Linked DNA regions of Lepisosteus oculatus. The protein of the gene in region 2 purifies or fractionates together with the protein of the main gene of each other region. This does not show direct contact. Links are inferred from orthologs where the notes say so. Each region holds a gene or a part of one and is shown on either strand. Other genes may lie near its edges. The genes, in order: larp1 and nfx1.

Region 1 (10,148 bases), on a different chromosome or scaffold from region 2:
TGCCTCAACAACATGGCTGAGAGACCTGTTCCATACTCCCACTACCCTTTGTGCAAACACAAGGCACAAATGCTATACTAAAGAATACATAACTACATGCATTTATTCCAATAACAAAGACCTTACTGAAATACAGGCTGGTAATGCAGTGTTCTAGGACAGTTTGGCATAAACTTTAACCCACTACTGTTTTGAAACCAAGTTAACATGTCACAACTATAAATAGCTTCTCCATTGAGGGTGGACATGCTCAGAGGAGAGATTATACCGAGAAGAAATGCTTTAGACAGCTGTCTTCGATAACAGGAGTCTCCTGTCCATGTTTATTTGTTCTGGAGTTTGGGATTTGTTTTATTCTTGAGCCTGTGCATCACTTGCAGTTCTCTGCTAGCAGTTCCTCCTTCTGGGAAGCAGTGCCTTGGAGATTTTAGAGCAACGCTGTGCAGAAGACATTTAGAACTTCACTTCATTAAATCTCCATAATGCAAAACAAGAAGCATGATTTTTCTATTCTGCCCAGGAATTTGATTACATTTTACCTTTTATGACATAGGCCATTTTGCTTTGTAAAAAATGTTTTGTAATACTGATGATCAATATCAATTCTTTCCTCACAGCCCTGTTATCTTGCTTCTAACTCCCTCTTTTGTATTCGAATGAACAGAAGTTAATCGTATACTACAAACAAAACAAGATCTGCACTTGCCTGCTTTGTGTACATTAATTTTTAACGGGCTCATCAAACCCAAAGTGTTCTCCCGGAACACCCCATCAATGAGCAGAGAGAAGGCGAGATGATATTGAGATACGAAACTGTGAAAGAGAACTTGCACAACGTCAGTGTACTCAATAAACCTTGAAACATTAACAGTTATTCTTTAAAGACACCAAACAACCAAAACAGGCTTACATGTATTTCTCTGGCTGAAGCTTTTTATTTGAAGCAACTTAGTTTTGCACTCATTTACGCAGCTGGGTGTTTTCCTGGAACAGTGTGGGTGAGGTACTGTACCCCAGTCAAGGGTACAACAGCGGTGTCTCACCTGGGTCTTGAACCCACAACCTTCCAGTTACAGTCCAGAACCCTGCCCACTGCTCCACACATCTGCCCCATTCCTACTGCAGCACACAACCACGCTGACGCTGGTACGTCTAAACAGGACACTGCATCTGACACTACACACGCCACTACGTTCAGCTTCAAGGACTAAGGAATCATACACTGCAGGGTTTTAAAAGTACATTAAATAACACTTATCTGTCAATATACTTTCAGCATAGTCTTTCAAACTTTCTTACAATAAAACTAGACCAGGCCCATGCTTCTCTACTGTCTGCAAACTGGGTAAACCTGGATTCAGGGGCTAACGAGCGCTGCTCCAGCATCCAGGAAAGCGTGGCAGCGTGTTGCCTGCTGTTGTCACCCAGCATTGCTGCACTGCAGACGAGCCTCTTACTGTCAGCGCACAGGCTGTGCGAGGACTCGGCTTCGGGTTCTTTAAAACTAAGAACAGTCATCACAGGCTTCCACCATCAACAGGCCACGTGCCCTCTACCCCAGCCTTTAGGAACTGGGCATCCCTCCAGTTTCAAGGAGTACCTATGGTGCATCATAAAGGCAAATCTCACCACTTATAGCAACTATTCAGAAACACTCGTCCACTACACACATACAAGGCTCTGTCGAACTCAAAGCAGATGTATGACCTGCCACTGACACAAAAACACCCCCTACACGCATCGAGCAGATCAAATATTACACTTTCAAAGAAATTCTGAAAAATCAAGCTCTCGGTTCTCTTCCAGTCTCTACTTACAAAAGCCAAGGAGAGCCCCCGCACAGCAGTCAGTGAGCAAAAGTCACAAAGCACTGTTTATTGCTCTTGTGTCCATACAGCCTTTTGCTTGGCACACAACACCTGACATTCTCACACGTGTCTCACCTTTCACACAACAGAGGACCGTGACCTTGGATAACACGTTTTAAGATATTAGCCTTAATATTAACCAGGGAGGCAAATGTACTAAAAGTCGGTTTTCATTTCCTTTTTCATTCCCAGGCCTTTGAAAAACCATAGATGTTGTAACCCTGTTACTTTAACCTTTTAAAAGAGAAACAAAAACAATACTGATCCCCAAACCAGCTCTCTCAAATAAGAGGTGTTGTTCACCTGTGGACTTCCCGGTCAAAGTTCACTCAAATTACAGAGTGACTGGATGTTACAGGTCTTAAACTGGGGGAAGAAACTCGTCCCTTTATTTTCGCAAAGAACGAAAAACACTGGAGTTTTCTCCTCTACCTCTACAGTGCAAACAGCTTTATCTCCCTGAGCAAACACGCGTTATTTACTCTACCTCAATGAACTTATTTTTATTTAAAAAAAAACAACTTTTATAACAGACTTGTTGGTGGTGGGGGGGGGACCGAGACACGAAAGCAGCCAGCACGGGCTGTGTGCCTTCCACGGCTAATGACCACGACCCCGGGAGTGAAGTGAAGTGAAGAGCACGGTTCAAAGGAAGCTGCTCTGAAGGCAGTCCGGAACAAACCCGTCCGCCTAACCTGCAGCAGCTGCGCAAGAAGCCACGCTTCCCCTCGCCTCACCACGGCCGGCGGGGGGGGGAGGGGATAACGGCGCTGCTCTCCGTTCAGACAGCTGCTTCGCCGGCCCGTCCCCGCCCCGCCCTGTCAAACTCAAGCGACCCCGGGCCCCACGGAGCCCGAACCGAGCCCCCCCAGGAGACGAGCCCGGCCGCGGCGCAGCGCCCATGAGATCACGTGTTTCCAGAGGAAGACACCACGTTGCCGACGGGCGGGGGGAATTCTGGGTAACGCGGACGAGCCTAGCAACGCTCTGCCTTAGTTTCCAGAGCACCCCGACCCCCACAGCCCCCGGAGAGGGGCACCCCTGCCGCAACACGGCTGGAAACTATCGGGGGATAAAATACAAGTCACCTTTTCCTAGATCTGAGCCTCGAAACACGCTGGTTCCTTCGGGTTTTTTTTTTGCAGGAGGGTTTGGGGAAGGGGGGGTGGGCGAGACTCGTCCCTGTTACAATCACCGCCTTAACTGCGTGGCCAGTGGGGTTGCTCTAAAGTTAAAACAATCGCTTTACCTCCCTGAAATAAAAAAAAATAAAAGACTTTGAAAACAAAACGGTTTTCCTTTCAATTTCGTGCCACCCTCACGTTCTCACACGGGTAAAAACGAACAAAAACCAAAGGAAATGCTACCGCCCAAGCTCTGGGCCATCTGTCTGAAATAGGTATAACAATTAAAAAAAGAGACACGGGGGGACAGCAGCGCCGACTGAGCGATGCCCCCCCATTCCGCTCGTGTACTCGGGGAACCAGGAAAAGCCACGAGTGACTAAAACGTGAACCACATGTAAATCACATGGATTTCCAGCTTTTTTGCCAATAACCCCGCATGTTTCGGATGCTTCAAGAGCCGAGGCAGGGCTATATATATATATAAAGCCAAGCCCGACGCAAAAACCAGCCCTCCCCACAACATATGCTAATCATAGGCGTTGGTGCGGCGCACGGTGTGCCCTCGGTGCGACCAGCCCACTCCCTGGCACACAGCGGAGAGCCGGCCGCCGGCGTGCAAACCCCCCCCAAAACGCATCGCCGCACCGCTGCCAGTCCGCAGGCCCTCGCCGGGGCTCCCTTTGCACGAAATGCGCCCTCCCGGCCGCACGCAGCCCCGAAACACGATCCCGGCCGCCGCAGACGCGACCTCTGCTGCGCCCCGCACCGTCTGCTGGGGCAGGCCAGACCGCACACCCCCCTCTCTCCCCCACAGCGGCTCCGGGGCCTGCACCCAGGGCTGCCCGGGGGGACCTGCGCCCCCTGCGGGCTGGCCTTCGGGGGGAGGGCCCCCGCTGCCATCCGTCCGGGCCAGCTGCACCCCGCCACGGCACTCGAAAGCAACAAGCGAAGCGTTGGAAAAGATGTTAGGAGGTACACACCATGATGTGCTTGTCCATTCACACTGACCACGGTCACCGTGTTCATTTTCTTAGTCCATGGGTTCACCTTGGGAGGGGGCGCCTCAGTGAACTCCTTTTTGGTGCATTTCGGGCCTTCCTCCTCCGGGGTGACCCCGTCTTTCGGGGCAGCCCCGGCTTCCCTGCGCAGGCTCTCCTGCTCCTGCGCGTTGCTCTCGTCCTTCGCCTGCTTCGGGCTCGGCTCCTGAGCGGCCATGCCTGCCGGACCCGGCTCGCCTCGCCTCACGCCGCCGTCCGCCCCGGGCTCCGGGCACTCGCCGCCGTGCCCGTGCTCCTCCGGCTTCAGCAGGGGGTTGCCGGGCAGGAGGGTCTCCACCTGAGTGGCCATTTCCCCCTTCTTCTCGCTACCCCGCAAGCCCTTCTACAACTGGCGAGAGAAAACGCGAACTGTGCGCCCCCGATCCGGCTCGTCTCACTCTTCTCTCCACTCCACCCCTAGACCAAATATCCTTCAGTCTAAGACGCAGAGTGGCCACTTGCGGATTAAAACACAAAATCCCTCCGAGCGCCTGTTTAAAACCCCCGATGTCGCTGGTCTCCCTTACTAGCAGCAATATGGAAGCACACCACGCGATCGACGGCGGCGCGCACGCACGCCAGGGGGAGTGACGACGCAGCCAGGCGCGCGACCCGGAGCCGGGTCGATGACGTCAGCCTCTTAAAGAGGCAGCCCGTTATGAACTGGCTGCCAATCAGTCCTAGTTCGATAAGTCGAAAGCCCACTGTTTCTAAAGCAGTTTGTTTTGTTTTTTCCTTTGCGGTGTGAAACACGCTTGGTGTTCTCGGGCTGTTCAAAACAAAAAAGTCATAGGAACTCTGAAAATGTGCTTTCATACGGTTCCAGATGCAATTGTATTCCTAATGAGTTTAAACACATTTCACATTTTTTTAAATGTCCATTTAAGGGAATGTCCTCCACTAACGGGCTGGAAGAACTCCACCTTGTTAGTTTTGACGCTGCACAGAGGATCAGGTGGAAAAGTGAGAATCTGCCTCTGGATCTGTACTCAGTTTCGCATCTCATCCCCGGGACAGCACCCCAACAGCACAGGGTCCCTGGCCACGATATGGGGGCAGAGCACCTCCTACTGGTCCACCAGCACACCCACCCCGCCAGGACAGATGCAAGCTGGTTTTCCTCACGGGTCTCCGGTCCCTGTGCTGGCCAGGCCCTGACGAGAGCAAAGCAGCGCCTGTCCATCTGCCAGTTTGATCAAATGCGGTGACGCGTGGGACTGGATTTAACCACAGCGTTTTGGTCTAAAACACACATTGCAGCGGCCACAGGATGGGGAGACAGGAGAGGGGGCTGCTGCCAGGGTCCGGTGGGTGTCCAGACATGTTCCATGGGGCCATTATTAATTCTTGCCCTAGCTGCTGTACTGCAGCGTTGATAGTCTGCATGTCAGAAAACCTGCTTAAGACTCCGAGTGCACCGTGCGGTATTTGCAGATGGTCCCTAAGCTGCCCCCGGCCATGCTTGAGGGACACGGGCAGCAGCCTGTGCGGAGTCCAGGAAGCAAGGCTGTCTCCTCTTCCTGCACGCTGCGCACCGCCGCGAGGCGGAGCAGGGAACTGCAGGCGAAGAGGAACTTCCGCTTCCGGTTCCGGGCGACGTCTCCGCCCTCCGGTTCATGTGAGCCAACCACCGCTGTCATTGCACAATGTAAACCCAGTAAATTAATAAGATTCATTTAAAAAGTTTTTAGATTAAATTAGCGCTCTGGTCATCTGCAGGAATGATAATGAATTAGCCGGATTCACAGCAAGCTAAAGGAAACCCCACCGAATTACAGAGGCACAACTACTTAATTTGTTATTTATAATGTTTAATATTAGCTTAAACCACAAATATTAATATGCACCAAGAAAAAAACCCCTCCGGAGTGGAGTGCACGGTAACCTCATCTCATCAGATCCGCGAAAAGCAAAGTTACAGCGGTTCTTCCGTCTCTTTGAATGATACGCCTCCCTGATACCAGAACACATATCTGACCATAAATACCATAAAAAAACATTTCCCCAAGGCACATTCCTGGGGCTCCCGGCATGACAGCGGGAGAAGGGTTTGGAGTCGTGTGTGCAGAGAAGCGGCGGGTCCTCGGCTCGGACATGCCTGTCGGACTCCGTGTTTGTGTCCCGACAGAGAAACGTGCTGAGTCAGCTGCCACTCGCCTGCTGTTTTCATAACGGCTCCGTTATTTATCCTTTTCGGGGCTGTAAACAGTTTTTTTTTTGCAGTGAATAAAGAAAGAGATGTAGGAATACGATGGGCATCGAGTTCTTATATACTTACGGCCGAATTCTCCCATCTGTTTTCCGCTGAGAGGTAAATACATTGGACAGTTGAGCTCATTGAACTGGGAGGGTCTCCCTGTGTCCCAGTGCTGCGACCCTGCAGACAGTCCCCGACCCTGCGGGGTGTGAACCAGCAGCGCTGGAGCCCCCTGCTCATCTGTCCTAAAGGCCAGTGGAGCTCCAGCATGGAAGACACCCCTGATCCATGGGACCTGACACGCCGTCCCACAGGTGAATAAATCTGGTAGGATCGGAGCTGGTGTCAGCACTGGCTGGGTGAGCCCAGGCCCAGTGGAACAATCAGAACCCTCCTTGCTCTCTTCTCCACTCCTCCTACACCCTGCTGTGCGAGCGTGCGGCTCCGAGACAGCGCACTCTCGAGCTGGCTGTGGGCCGCCGGAGCTGGGCGGGGCTGATCGGGGTCAGACGGGCCCTGACCTTTCTGCTCGGGACTGACCCAGCCTCGGCTCAATTCTGGACCTGGGGTGCTGTCTGTGTGGAGTTTGTAGATCAAAAACTACATATTGGTAGTTTAACTGGGTTCTGGGAAACTGTCCCTGGTGTGAGTGTGTGTCTGTGTGTGCCCAGTGATCCATTAACCCATCCATCTACCCAGACATCCCGTCCAGGGTAGAACCCGCCTTGTGCCTGTTGCTTGCCTGAGTGGACTCTGACTGCCCTGTGACTCTGAATTGGATAAAACAGATAGAAAATGGATGGACATTGCTAATGATTGAAAGAATGGTATCACAGAAAAGGAGGCTTTATTAAAACAAAGTGAACAGCTTTTCCTTAGTGCACAGAGCTGATGTGTGTGCAGCACAACACTGAGCACAAAATGGAGCAAACACAAACACGAAGGGACCTTGTAGTCAGGCCTAGCGCTTCATGGAGTGCCAGATTTATTTCCTCAGGTAGCAGGCTTAGCTTATACCACACGTGTGAAAGTGTTGTGGGGCAGTAGGGAAGGAGTTTCCAGCACTCCTGTGGTTTTAACGCGCTCGGGCTCTGTGCTTTGTAAGCGTGAAATAGGCTCAGCTGGAATAGACAGCCTTGCAAGGACACTTTGTCGTAGGCTGAGAGGACGTTCCGTTGTCCGCTTCATCTGTCTCGGTTTTCTGTCCTTCTGCCTCCATGGTGTCCACCCAACTGTTGAAGACGTCCACCTCCACAAGGGAACTGTCCATGGTTCCCTCGAGCTGCTCTTGCAGCTGCCTGTCTACCCTTTCAGCCTCTAACAAGAGACTCCTGTCCCATCCAACAGGCCTGTACACAATGCGCAGTGGAGCTCATGCCTGTGAGCCGCTGTAGCTGCGCCAGATAAGGGGACGAAGATGTCTGTCTCACTGCTGATTACAGCTTTCAGGACGAGCAGGGTGGTGAAAGATAAACGGTGGCTGAACGTAAGCTGTGACCGAACTTAAAAACCACAGACAACTGAATGTGAAAACCAGGTGCGAAATTTTAAAAGGGTATTTTCCAAATCTCCAGCTATAGCACTCCCATTTGGTGGAGAGTTTATTTTAGATCTTGGTCGCCTGATCTACGTGGTCACCTGGTCTCTTGGTCTCATCTCTCAGGGTGCAGTATATTTACACAGCACAGTTAAACACATCAGAGCTTACAGGGGCTGGCCATGCGCACACAGGGGCTGTGACCGAGGGCGAAGCCCACTCTGTCCGACAACAGCTGCGCACCCCCTGCATGTCCGCCCCAGGGTGCTGTTCTTTACCCCCGCGAAGCAATCAGCAGCACAGTGAAGACGCAGGGTGATGCCGACCCAGTCACTGACACACGGGGGAATTCCCTGACCCTTTTCTTCGTCTACCGTGATAGTGCATTTCAAGAAAACAAGAAAACGCGATCCCTACAGGTTGAACAGCTCCGAATGTCCGACGAATTTCCACCATGGCAGCCCCAGCCATTCTGAAATAACTTTGCTCCAAAGCAGACACACGAAGAGGTGCTCATATGCACACAAATGTGCACGAGTACACACACACACAGACACACACACACACACGGCCTTTTCTGTAGCCCCTGTTGTTGCACAGGGGTAAATACTCTGATACCCCGACTAGCTGCAGAATCCCTTTCTTTGTGCACAATGACATCAGTGCCATGTAAAGCTCTTTGGCATTGTCCACCCCGCTGGAGCCCTTTAGTAATGCAATCGCCAGTTGAATAAGTGCAGGAGACAGGGGACAAAACTCGCAGTCAGCAGCTGGTCAGCAGATCCCACACGTGGGATGTGCACAGTAAGCACCAGGCTGCAGCGGAGCCTCGGAGCTGCTGGCCACCCTGACAGAGAGAGACAGAGACCGGAGGGGCGCCTGTTCCGGCGGCTGGGAGTTCAGGAATAACCGCGCAAATACTGGCGGATATGCAGAGCTGTACCACCCAGGCTTTGTCGGCGGCGGTTTCTTTGTTGTTTGCGAAGCACCAGATACCGTCCAGGAAGAAAGCCCCTCCACAGGGTTTCACACAGCTGAGTCCCGACCGGTGAAAAAGGACACATCCGATACAGGGGCCGGTCTCCTGTCCCCCCCCCCCCACAGGCACAGCCACAAGGAGCCTGCCCCTCTCACCTGGGGGTCCCCAGGCCAGCGCCCCCCCTGGTTGCCCCCTCACACTCATATGAATGATTCTGGAGTCAGAGCTACACCAGAGGGGATTCATGGGGAACGAGGGACAAGCACACACTACACTCAGAATCGCAGGCCGATTAAGTGGATCATTAGTTTACTGGCAGTCAATCAAGCTGCTTGGAGCTCCGCTCATTTATAATGCCCACGTTCTTTTCCCAAATTCATACCACCACTTTCCGATGGATGTTGTACAAGACAAGAAACAAATCAGTTAGGCTCAAATCTCCAACGTGCATAAGCACTACACAGACGTAGGCCTGGTTCCCTTTTTGAGTCAACGTGCAGTCTCTGAATGATCCCAGTTCGTTTTACATGCTAGGGGGATAAACACATGGGCTGCCAGTGTCAGCAGCAGCTGAAATGGGCTGTGGGACTTGTATTGTATTAAGATGCATCACTTGGGTAGGTTATTTTTTGGCCCAAGTGGATCAAGCAGTGGAGACTCTTCTGGGAGCAGGCTGGGCTCAATGATCCAGACATTCCCAGTATTCGTCTGGTCACTCCGGCAGCCCCAGAGACCGGGAATCTCCAGGAGGCAGCACGCGGTGGGGTCTGCCCCACTTGTGGTAGGACCAAAGTTTACTACTGCAATACTAGTCCCTGCAATTTCCCAGCTATGCCCCATAATGACTTGTGATGACATCAGCATTGCTCCTCCAATCAGTGCTGAGCCTCCTGTATGTCACTTCGGAGCTTGTAGCTGTGGACGACTGTCTCAGTGGGTGTGCAGGGCAATGCTTGCACTTCCTTCCTTTCATTGTGTACAACATGGGCAACCGCCCTTATTTTATCCCCAAGGATATCAGGGAGTCACCTATGCTGAGTGCATTTAAATCTCAACTCAGAACCATTCTGTTCAGAAAGGCTTTTATGTCATTGGCGTCTGTGTCTGCTGCACTTTCTAAGGACCTTGTAACCACTTGTGTCTCTTATATGTGCTTATGCTACTCTTTAAAGACTGTATCTGAAATGAAGTTTCATCTTATTATTATTACCTGAAAAACCTCCACTTCTGTAAATATGTTATTAGTCCTTTAGCAATGAAGTATTTCCTTTTAGATAAGTGTGGTACAGCTCCCGAATAGCTGCAGTAAAACCCAACAACAGTAACAAGCCAATATTCGACAGCAAGTCGAAGTCGAGTATCTGGAGCTGCCTGGTTTACCCACAACAGCCGGGAAGTGATTC
Region 2 (9,995 bases):
TTCCACAGACACAAGATTTGGTTATAAAAGCAGGACATAACGGGCATGGTCCTGGGTGGCACAAACTGTAGAAAAAAAAACAACATTTGAAAACATTATTAAACAGCAGGAATTACTGCTGTGAGAAATGACATCAAGGCACAGTTCACAATTCTAAAATGGTGGGGTATACAGAAAAAATAACTAACAATTGTAAATTCATAGAAACAATATATTTTGTTACTCACATGTTGCAGGGGTGGGGGCAGTCCAAAGCAGATCGCTTTTTACCACACAGCTCTCCACAACTGTGTGGAATCTCATTTCTGTGCCACTCAGGGTTATTAACCTTGCCTTAAAAATTAAATTGAAAGCATATAAATTATTTTTTTTGTTAATGAAACACAAATCATTATAAGGAGCAATACAATCCTCTACACATCTCCTGATCGACTTTACAATACAATATCTCCCAAAATGCAGGAGTGGTTCTACAACCTAAAGCTCTTTAAGTAGTTCAGGTAGCTGTGTCAGCATGCATAAGCTGCAAAGGAACAAGTAAAGGTTTATTCCATGCTAAAAGGAGAAGAAAAACATTTTTTCAGTTGTGTATCCTTCTCTGGGTGTGGCTCATTAATGTTCAATCCAGAAAGCAAGTTTCAGACTTTGGCCCTAATTCCCCAGAACAAAATGGAAAAATAAATATTTGTGACATTTGTCTAGATTTTGACCACCAGGTGATCCTCAGCTTTCTGGCAGTGACCCTTGTTGCTGAATGCTTCTATCGCTGTCCCCCGTTTGACACTTCAGCTTTTATTTTAAAGGTGGAATTCCACTGTAATAACAATCAAACAACAGTATAATGCATGTAAAACGCAATGGCCAATTTGGGAAAGAAAAGTTACAAAAACAAGAAATTTGTGCATCCACTACCATGAAAAATAATCCTGAAGAAACATGCACAATTATGCACAATGTAGAATGGTAATTTATGAAGTTCTCCAAGGTATTTTAGAAGATAACAGAAAATTTCACTTACCACAAAAGCAGGCGTAAGAGTTTGGTACACGAGATGCTACATTTTGGCAGGCAGGACACCTCCACCCTTCATTCCCATCTGGAAATAGAGCCACACAAGGTTTACTCAATCACATCATTAAGTACACTGAGAATTATGTTAGTAAAATATGGCACATGCAATACAGTGAAGGCAAGCACATAATGCACACTGATTAGTGTGGGTTTAAAAAAGGAAAACAAAAAAAGTTGCAACTACTTGATAAATTGCACATCTTGATTTTTTTAAAAAGAAGTTATGAAGTCCAATCATGTTACTTATTGTAAACGGAACCAAAACTGGTGAGAAATAAAGTATGATCATCGTACGGCTATACTCTCTTCTTTTTATCTGTCAACCTCAATCAACTGACGCCCACAGAAGAAAGACTACAGGTAGGGCCGTTTCTACATGACCTTGCTAAATACTGTACATGCTCTCGGATGGAGAGACTGGGACCCCGGCAGATGACTGAATCCTAGCTAACCATTCCCCGCCCACTGTCACTGTTCTCAAAACTGCCAATCTAGAACCCTCCACAGACAGTGAAAATCAGGTTAAGAAATCAATGGGAAAATGTCCATGGGGAAAAAATACAATTTACAAAGGCTGTCATTTGTGGTTTTTTGGTTTTTACATGATTGAAACACAGAACACTTTTAAAAATCTGCTATTCTAACGTCTAATTAAATTGATTTGATCTTAATTTAATGTTTCAATAAACATGACTCCACATAAATCAATACAATACATTCAGGAGGGTGTATTGTGAGATCATGTTTTACTAAAATGTTTAGTCATGGGATTTGATGTCCTTCCTTAAAGCCATCTGAATAATATTTGTATGAAATCTGCACAACACTTCCCAAGGCAGTGTGATTTAAATGTAGCAGGCAGGGTTTGATTTTACTCAGGAAGATACAAAAAATTAGTCCCCTAGCCCCAGGACCAAACTTACCCTCTGCCTGAGAGGCTGGGGACCTGGCCCACTTTTTAATACAGTTGAGATGGAAGACGTGGTAGCAACTCTGGCAGCTCCACACTGGAGCCATCAACCGGATCACCTCACAGCAGACCATGCATTCGTACTTCTCCTCTGTGAGCTGTTCGATCAAGCAGCCTGCCCCAAGAGGGAGAGGGAAAGCACAATGATCCACAGAACTCAAATACCATCTTAAAAACTTGCGTAACGCCACCTGTCAAACTCGGTTCCTTTGAGCTAATGCTGAGAAGTCATCTGATCAGGGCCAGACAATGCCACAGCTGATGAATACGGGTTATTAAAGGGATCACTCTCAAATACATATGCAGTAGCTTTCCAGACATCACCTGCCTGACACCCAAACTGACTTTTGAACACATTCATTTGCATCGCTTTATTCTCCAAAATGCTAAGGGTCACAGAGAAAGTGGTCAGGAAGACTCTATTCCATCCGCTCTTTTGATTTTGTAAGCAAACAGATGCTTAGCATTTTAATGGAATCAAAAAAAAAGCATTTCTTCTCATTTTAGAACTGTTGTCTGCATTTGACAATATGGATACGTAGCTTCGAGTATCCCAACCAAACACTGGCAGGGCAGTGAAACACATGTAGAGAAATACTTCATGATAAGAGGCTAATTTTCATGTTATCAGTTCATGTTATCAGATATCAGATATGGAAAATGAAATAAACACAAATGACCATAGTGGCACACCTGTCTGCGTTTCCTTGCTCTTGGGCATGTCCACCTGCGTTTTATAAACAGGCCTCCTGTCCGCCTTTTGAGGTTTCTTCGGACCACGGTCTTGGAGTGGAAAACGCTTGCCGTGTCCCCTCTCGCTCCTCCAGCTGGGCTCCTCTGGACACCGGGAAGCGCTCAACCCCTCTGACGTGCTGAAGGAAGCCGCGTGGGGTTTGCCTGCCAGGCTCCTGTAGGAGGCTGGTCTTCTAAAGGTCTCCTCCTCGTGCTCTTGTCTGTGCCTCGGGGAGTTCTTCTTCATGCTGTGGTCCCGATACCTTTCCCCCGTCCTCTGACCCTTCCCATCAACTTCTTTACCAGCATCTGTGGACACCGTGCTGGACCAGTCCTCCGCAGTCCGGGTCTCCCCGACAAAAGCCCGTCTTCCCCTCTCGGTTGCCCCCCTCCTGGGCTCAGCAGCAGCAAACTTGTTTGTCTTTTTGGGCCTTACATCTCTCATCTCCTCTTGGGAAAGAGGGCCATTGTAGAAATAATTGTCCCTCTGGTTCTCCGTCTTCCAGTTTGACCCACCAATTCCAGACACTTCAGTGGAAGACTCTGTCCTGTTGCCCCCAGAGGGGTCAGGGTTATCTGCTGGAAGATTCCTTGTACTTCCGGGCTTTTGCCATCTCTGTGCCTGAAAGCTGTGGCTTCTAGCTCCTCTACTGCCTTCTCCCCGCTCCGCATGGTCCTGAGAAGGACTGTGGCTCTTCCGGGAGTCATGTTCATGCCAAGGCCTGTTACTGTGATATGGCCTGTTATAATGCTGCGATCGAGGACCTGCGTAGTGACCACTCCTGTTTCTGTTGTGCTCTGACTTTGGGTTCTCCCTCCTTGACTTCTGCTTGTGTCTTTCTTCAGGCACAAAATCAGCTGCATCTGGATTCAAATCCAGTTCCCCTGGGGGAACAAAAATGGAAACTTAAGCACAGATCAGCATTTTTCTAAAAGCACATCACAATCTTATACAGGGACAACGGAGAGAAACATTTTCTGTACTTCTGTAATAATCTGCAGTAGGGTTATGTCTGCAAAAAGTACTGACGTTAGTTTAAAAATTGGGAATATACGTTATTGTGTGTAGAGCACAAACGTGGATTTCCAAGGTTTATTTATAAGGTACCTCATCTCTCAGCGTTTATATAAAACGAATGTGTCATTTTTTCCTTCAGTACAAAGTTAGTAGGTTTGACTTTTCAGTGTAACTATGAACCAAATATGTTTCTGGACTCTGACCCAGCTATGATAATGTTTAGACACTAGGTAATATATCTACAAACGAAGCAGGCTTTTCAGAATCTTGCAGTTTAATAAATCACACAAAAAAATCTGAATTAATTTTAATAGATAATTTATTCTGGGGGAAAAAAAGGTTTTGTCACCGTGTTTTACGAGGTCACACAGGCAACCATGTGGTGAGCTGACCAACAGCATGATCTGTCACATCGCTGACTTGGTCCCACGACAACAAGTCGACATGTACACATCCCGTTTGGTTCTACATGTCAAATCGGACATTATTACTATAAGCAGTAGCAATAATACCTCAAAAGCATTACTGATAGCTCTGAAGCCAATATAGTAAAGACTAAATTTGATTATAAAAAATAACCTAGCATAGAGTAACATGGTAGCTAATAAAAAGTTTAAATGAAATACCTTCTAGAGATTCAGCCATTTAAAGCCCAATGGAGCGTAAAGTATGTTTTTTTCTGCTGATATGTAACAACGTCTTCTTTTCTTGAGGTTTTACATAATAGATGAACCCGGCCTACAAACTTCCTATCCCCGCAACACAACAAACCTCTGCGCATGCTCACTGTGATTGCATCAACCTAAACTTTATTGATAGGACTGGGGCCTCTGACAGCTTTTAAATACTGTAGGCTTCTTGGACTCTTTCCGAGGAGTGTTAACGTAATTCTGTTTAAGACAGACGTGGATATGGATAGCGGCAGCAGTAAGTGATGCAGTTACACAACCTGCAGTTATATCGATCATACAGGAAACGGATTTCTACCCTGAAGGAATGAAGTCTGTGCTTTGACAATAAAGAAAGGATGCGACGTGCATAACCTGACATTAGAGAGAGTTATGTAGTGTAAAAATGAGAAAGCCTTTGCTCAACGGGTTATTAAACATGCAATAAAAGACATAAAAGAAAATAAATTATTGTGATTCTTCAGGAAAATACTGTGGTTGATGTTTTGGGGTTTAAATTTAGATAATAAATGGTGTAGGTAAATTTAAGAATATTCCTGAATTACGAATTAAGAAAATTAAGAATAAGAGAAAATTAACTAAAAGGTTTAGATATTGATAAAACAAATTTAGAAAAAGCTAACTCATTAACAAAATTATTAAGTAAGGTTAACAGTTGTAGTTAATACTAAATTATATCTTAGATCTATAAATTATTATTTCTAAAAACATCTCCTAGTAAGGATCAAGATCATACAAAATGTTTTCACATGCAAGATGAGATGGTGTACTATATACGTTTTGTCAGTTTAATATAGTATGGAAATCGGTGTGTTATAGTCAAATCAACTGTCCTATTGCATTGGCAACAAATGCATGCAAGTTAATAGGAAAAATTGTGGTTAGGAGGTCTTTTTTTGTAAAGTCATCATTTTTTTCACATTAAAGTGGGTTTGGGAAAAGGAGAACATTTTAGATTAAAGGGCTGAATAAAAAAAAACTTTTCTTAGGTGGCAGTTTTTTATCAATAAAGACTTATGACACTTTAATGAGAAGAGGAACTTCTAATGAAATTGAACAATTTAGGAATAAAAGCATACTGTATACTGTATAATCAAATGGATCAAGGAATTTCTGGTTGAATGGACTGTTCATGTAAGAACAGGAATGGAATATTCAAAGAAAATAGATCTCTTCTGGGGAGTGTGTCATCTGGGTTCTGAGTTTGAAGCATTTGAAAGACTGGGACTGGGTTACAGTTAAAAGTGATGTAGAGCTTCAGATGAAGTCATAGAATGATGTAATGGGTGTGCCTGGATTGTTACAGAGTGATATTATACAGTACCGCTCCCCCTCATATTTGTTCACAGCAAGCATTTAACTCACTTTCTGAATAGGATAACAGAGACAAGGTTGGATTAGAAGAATGATCCACTGATACTTACACCTGTATACTGAAGTCCAAGACCACCATTATTCAAATGTACTCGATACACATGTAATTGTTTGTTTAATTGAACCCTAAAGCTTTGGAAAAAAAAACACTGCTTTTCTATGTGTAGACCTCCATTAGGGAGAGATTTAAAGTTAGCTGATCTAGGGATAGTTGAAGTCTCTAAAGCCCAGATAAACTGACATAGGGATACGTTAGGTAATATTTTGCTTCTTAAAATAACATTTTGGACAAAAGATAAATTCAGTTTTGAAATGGTATTTTGATAAGGGTTATGATTAATCTAGGGATAGTTGAAGTCTCTAAAGCCCAGATAAACTGACATAGGGATACGTTAGGTAATATTTGTTAGTCAGTATAATCATTACAATTTTAAAAGTGTTTAAACAGGCCACAAATTAAAAACTAAACAGAATTCCAGTTGTATTTTTAAGGTGAAGAAAAAGATTTTTGAAGATGGCTGAAAAAAGGGCAACATGTATTATTCTCCAAGAAACACAGCAATGCTGCTTGGAGATTTCATTGACAAAAATCTAGGTCATGTATGGAGGCTGGAATGTCATTTTGTGTTCTTAGTCCTCCTGCTTAAAAAAACTCTAGACATATAGGGAATCCACACACAAGCCTAAACCTAACTTTAGACACAACCGTATTTTTTATCCAGACACTGATTGCACTCTTAAGACTCAGCTGGTGGGTACAAACATCACAGGAGCTAAGTGTGTTCAGACATCAGCTGGAAGAAGAGTTTGGCTATTCCAAAACATGACACAAGTGGAGCTGAACACCTATGTATTAACAACATAAGATGAGAAACTGGCCATATCAGTCACAATTAAGCCACAATGTCTGTAACAGATAAGCCCTAAGATTTTCATTTCTACATTTGATAGGGACTCTGTATTTATACTGTATGATATGTATATGATATGATATTCTTTGCAGATTAACTTAGAATGTCAGAACTCCTGAGTGGGTGATGTACAATTTGGCTGTATGTATTGGGCCTGTGCACCAGAGGGCACCATTATCTAGTAATAATATAAAAGATGCTAGTTACATTTTCAAGATGGTGATAAGGCTTCCAAAAATTAAAACCATGTTGCAGGACCAAAATATCAGATTAACAAACACACTGTGTAAAATTTATTAAATGTAGGTCACACAGAAAAATTGAGGATGAGATGAGGCCTATAGATAAAGGGATGCTGCTGGTCATCTAATAACTCCTGTGTTCCTGTCTGGACCGCTGTCAATACTTTCTGCTGAATACTACTCAACTTTCTGCTGAATACTATTTGCAGGTTTCAAAACCCAGTCGTGAGAAATGGACTTGGTACTGTAGTGCTCTCAGGTTCATGTGGGTATGCACCCTCACCGCTGCCACCTCAGGCCAGGCCCCCACCACTGGGGACTCAAACCCAGGCCTCCGGTGTCACTCAACAAGGACCCAGCCACTTGAACTAATGGGAAATCTCCCTTCAGTCCAACGGCTGCAGTCCCTGCTATTCACAGGGAAGGGCGGTGACGTCACCACGCTGGTAAGCCGGCTGGAACCACCTGCAATGGTGGCCATATGCGCTCCAGTACCAAGCAGTGTGAATACCGTCTGTGACATCTGATACAATCTTGAATCATTTTAAAGTCGCTTCTCCTAGCCATCCAAACCCAACAAAGAAACAGCCATGTGTATCTTTTGAGGAGCTGGCTCCATTATTTCTTTCACATGGAATATCTAAACACGCCTGTATATGTAAGGGCAACACCAGGGCGATACCCCCTCTGGAACATTACAGCTTTACTATTGAACACTGAGCGCAGTTCCCGCAGACCGTTTGTTATCCCTGCCATTGGTTTTAAATGGTAATAAAGAAATCAATTTTCTTATTCTGCAAACTGTGGTTTAATTCCTTTATTCATGTTGTTGTTTTTTTTTATTTCTAGCCCCTTTACACCCACGTTATGCTTTTGAAAAGTGATTTCAAAAATACGCTAAACATTTTATCTCCAGTTGCTTTGCAATTAGAGAGGAATGTGTAAAGGCATTTAATGCATTATTCACAAGCTGCCCGTTTATGCATGAATTAGATCTGATTAATTTATATTGTGAGAATCCTCCTGCTTCCTGCTCCACTAAAATTAGAACCCAAATGCGGCTGTGGATACTTAATGGTATGTCTTACAGTTTTTGCCAAGCGTAGCTCTTGCATGAACACAGAACTCACTGATGGCTTGTTCCTATCCTAATTGACCTGGTCAATAATGCAGATATAGTGTTAATTTTCTTAGAATAAATTCTAATCCTTTATATCTCTGTCTAGTGAGAGTTTTCAATATGAAATGCTCAGACTAATTAAGTTTATATTGCATTAAGGATTTACTTTGGGTAAACTAGCACATTTCACCCATTCACACATAATACACAAAAGAAACATAGCAATCAAAGTGTCATTTCCCTTCCTTTTATGTCATCTTAAAAAGAGTCAAAGTGGTGGAAAGGCTATACCCTATCAGGTCCTAGACTTAATTGTCAAATCACCTTTTTAAAATCCCCAGAATCTGCTGCTATTACACGTTTTCATCAATCTGAATGTTTGCCAGCTGGCCTAAGAGAACAGCTGCTTAAAAGGTATTGCTCTAATTTGGTGGCATGAATTTACCTTATTTATTCCATAAGGCATGGAACTGAGGGTGGTTTTCCTTGAAAGGTATATAAAATAAATCTGGATTGATAGAAACACGATTTCTTCTTTGTCTACTACACCTGGGTAGCTTCAGTGAAGTACCTAATTATGTACAAGAAGGGAAATTGCCACAATAAAAAAGATGATCACATATGGTACATGCAGGACTGTGCTATTGCCAGTATCAGCAAATGGGTGGTTGTTAAGTGCACACATGTGCCAACAAAACATTGGGAGAATAAATGGTTAGCTTTTTGATAGCATGTGCTGCCAACAGGCTGTTTCAGTTAACAAAGATGTTGACTGTTACATCATAATCTCTAGGAGCAACTCTAAGTCAGTCAGTGAAGGATACAATACAATACAAGTACAATTCAGACTAAATAATTGTATCTGCAACACTTACTTGTTGGATGCAACATTTCAGTAATCCTGCTTCTCAAACCACAATTGTATTAAAAACCTTGTTGCATTATGGGAATCTGAATTTAGAAATAAAGCAGAATAGTATGAGACAGAAATAGGAAGTTAGAAGTCTTTGGAAAGATGTTATCTTTCAGAATGTACCAGGGAGCATATCAAAGATACAATAATTATATTTTTTTATTCATCCATTTTCTTAAACATGTTTATTAAATGTTAAATGTTCATTAAGTGTAGCATAAAGGAAACCAATTAGCATGACATATTTACCTTGGTTTTTAGCCATATTGATATAGTTATCTCACAATAAAAATTGAAATAATCAGTTTTCCTGAGAAAAGTATTCTACAAACCCATATTTTTTCCACTACATAGTAACATTACATGTCAGTAGTTTTGGATATCACCTCAATTCAGCTTCCTGGAATGTTCTTAACTGTGAACTTTAAACTCTCAGGTTTAGAACCTTGCAATGTAGGGTCCGATGTGAAAATGATGGGGGAGATGTGAAACATGTAGGAAGCCGTTTAAGTAGTGTATAGCAAATATTGTCTGTGCAGAAAATCTCTAACTTCACCCAAAGATCGAATGCAAAACTCCTTTAAAAGCATGAAGAGAGTCAATGCTTCGTATCGAACACATGAAGGAATTCTTGTACAGTATGCTCAATAAAAATGTCCTCGCCTCTGACCTCCTAATTGCCAAATGTAGAATTGAAGCTTCTATTGCAGACTGTTCTGGTTCCTACTGATCACATATACTGTATGTGGGAATTTTTATACAGTGCCTTGCACAAGTATTCAGACCTTTGCCATGCTTAATAACTTGCCATCGTGACACTTTTAAACAGCAGCTACTGTCCCAGTAAGGACAATCTTGACCTGTCCTAGACATGCCAGTCCATATGTTCAAAGCAAAAAAACAACAAAAAGAAGAAGTAAACAGATAATCAATTTGTAACAGAAATTGAAGTTAT

Evidence for each region.
Region 1: the proteins of nfx1 (region 2) and larp1 purify together in Homo sapiens (affinity purification with mass spectrometry, with the first as the bait; 3 studies listed by BioGRID). This does not show direct contact. The link is inferred for Lepisosteus oculatus from reciprocal best matches to the Homo sapiens genes NFX1 and LARP1.

Annotation. Positions count from the first base shown.
Region 1 is NC_090706.1:40,897,762-40,907,909, reverse strand, and holds the start of larp1 (la-related protein 1), read right to left. Parts: upstream 4,603-10,148; 5' UTR 4,343-4,602; coding exon 3,976-4,342; intron 2,787-3,975; exon of another isoform or gene 2,772-2,786; coding exon of another isoform or gene 2,564-2,771; intron 1-2,563. UniProt on the Homo sapiens protein: RNA-binding protein that regulates the translation of specific target mRNA species downstream of the mTORC1 complex, in function of growth signals and nutrient availability.
Region 2 is NC_090701.1:21,634,584-21,644,578, reverse strand, and holds the start of nfx1 (transcriptional repressor NF-X1), read right to left. Parts: upstream 4,579-9,995; 5' UTR 4,437-4,578; coding exon 4,418-4,436; intron 3,659-4,417; coding exon 2,735-3,658; intron 2,157-2,734; coding exon 1,995-2,156; intron 1,097-1,994; coding exon 1,019-1,096; intron 334-1,018; coding exon 228-333; intron 66-227; coding exon 1-65. UniProt on the Homo sapiens protein: Binds to the X-box motif of MHC class II genes and represses their expression. May play an important role in regulating the duration of an inflammatory response by limiting the period in which MHC class II molecules are induced by interferon-gamma.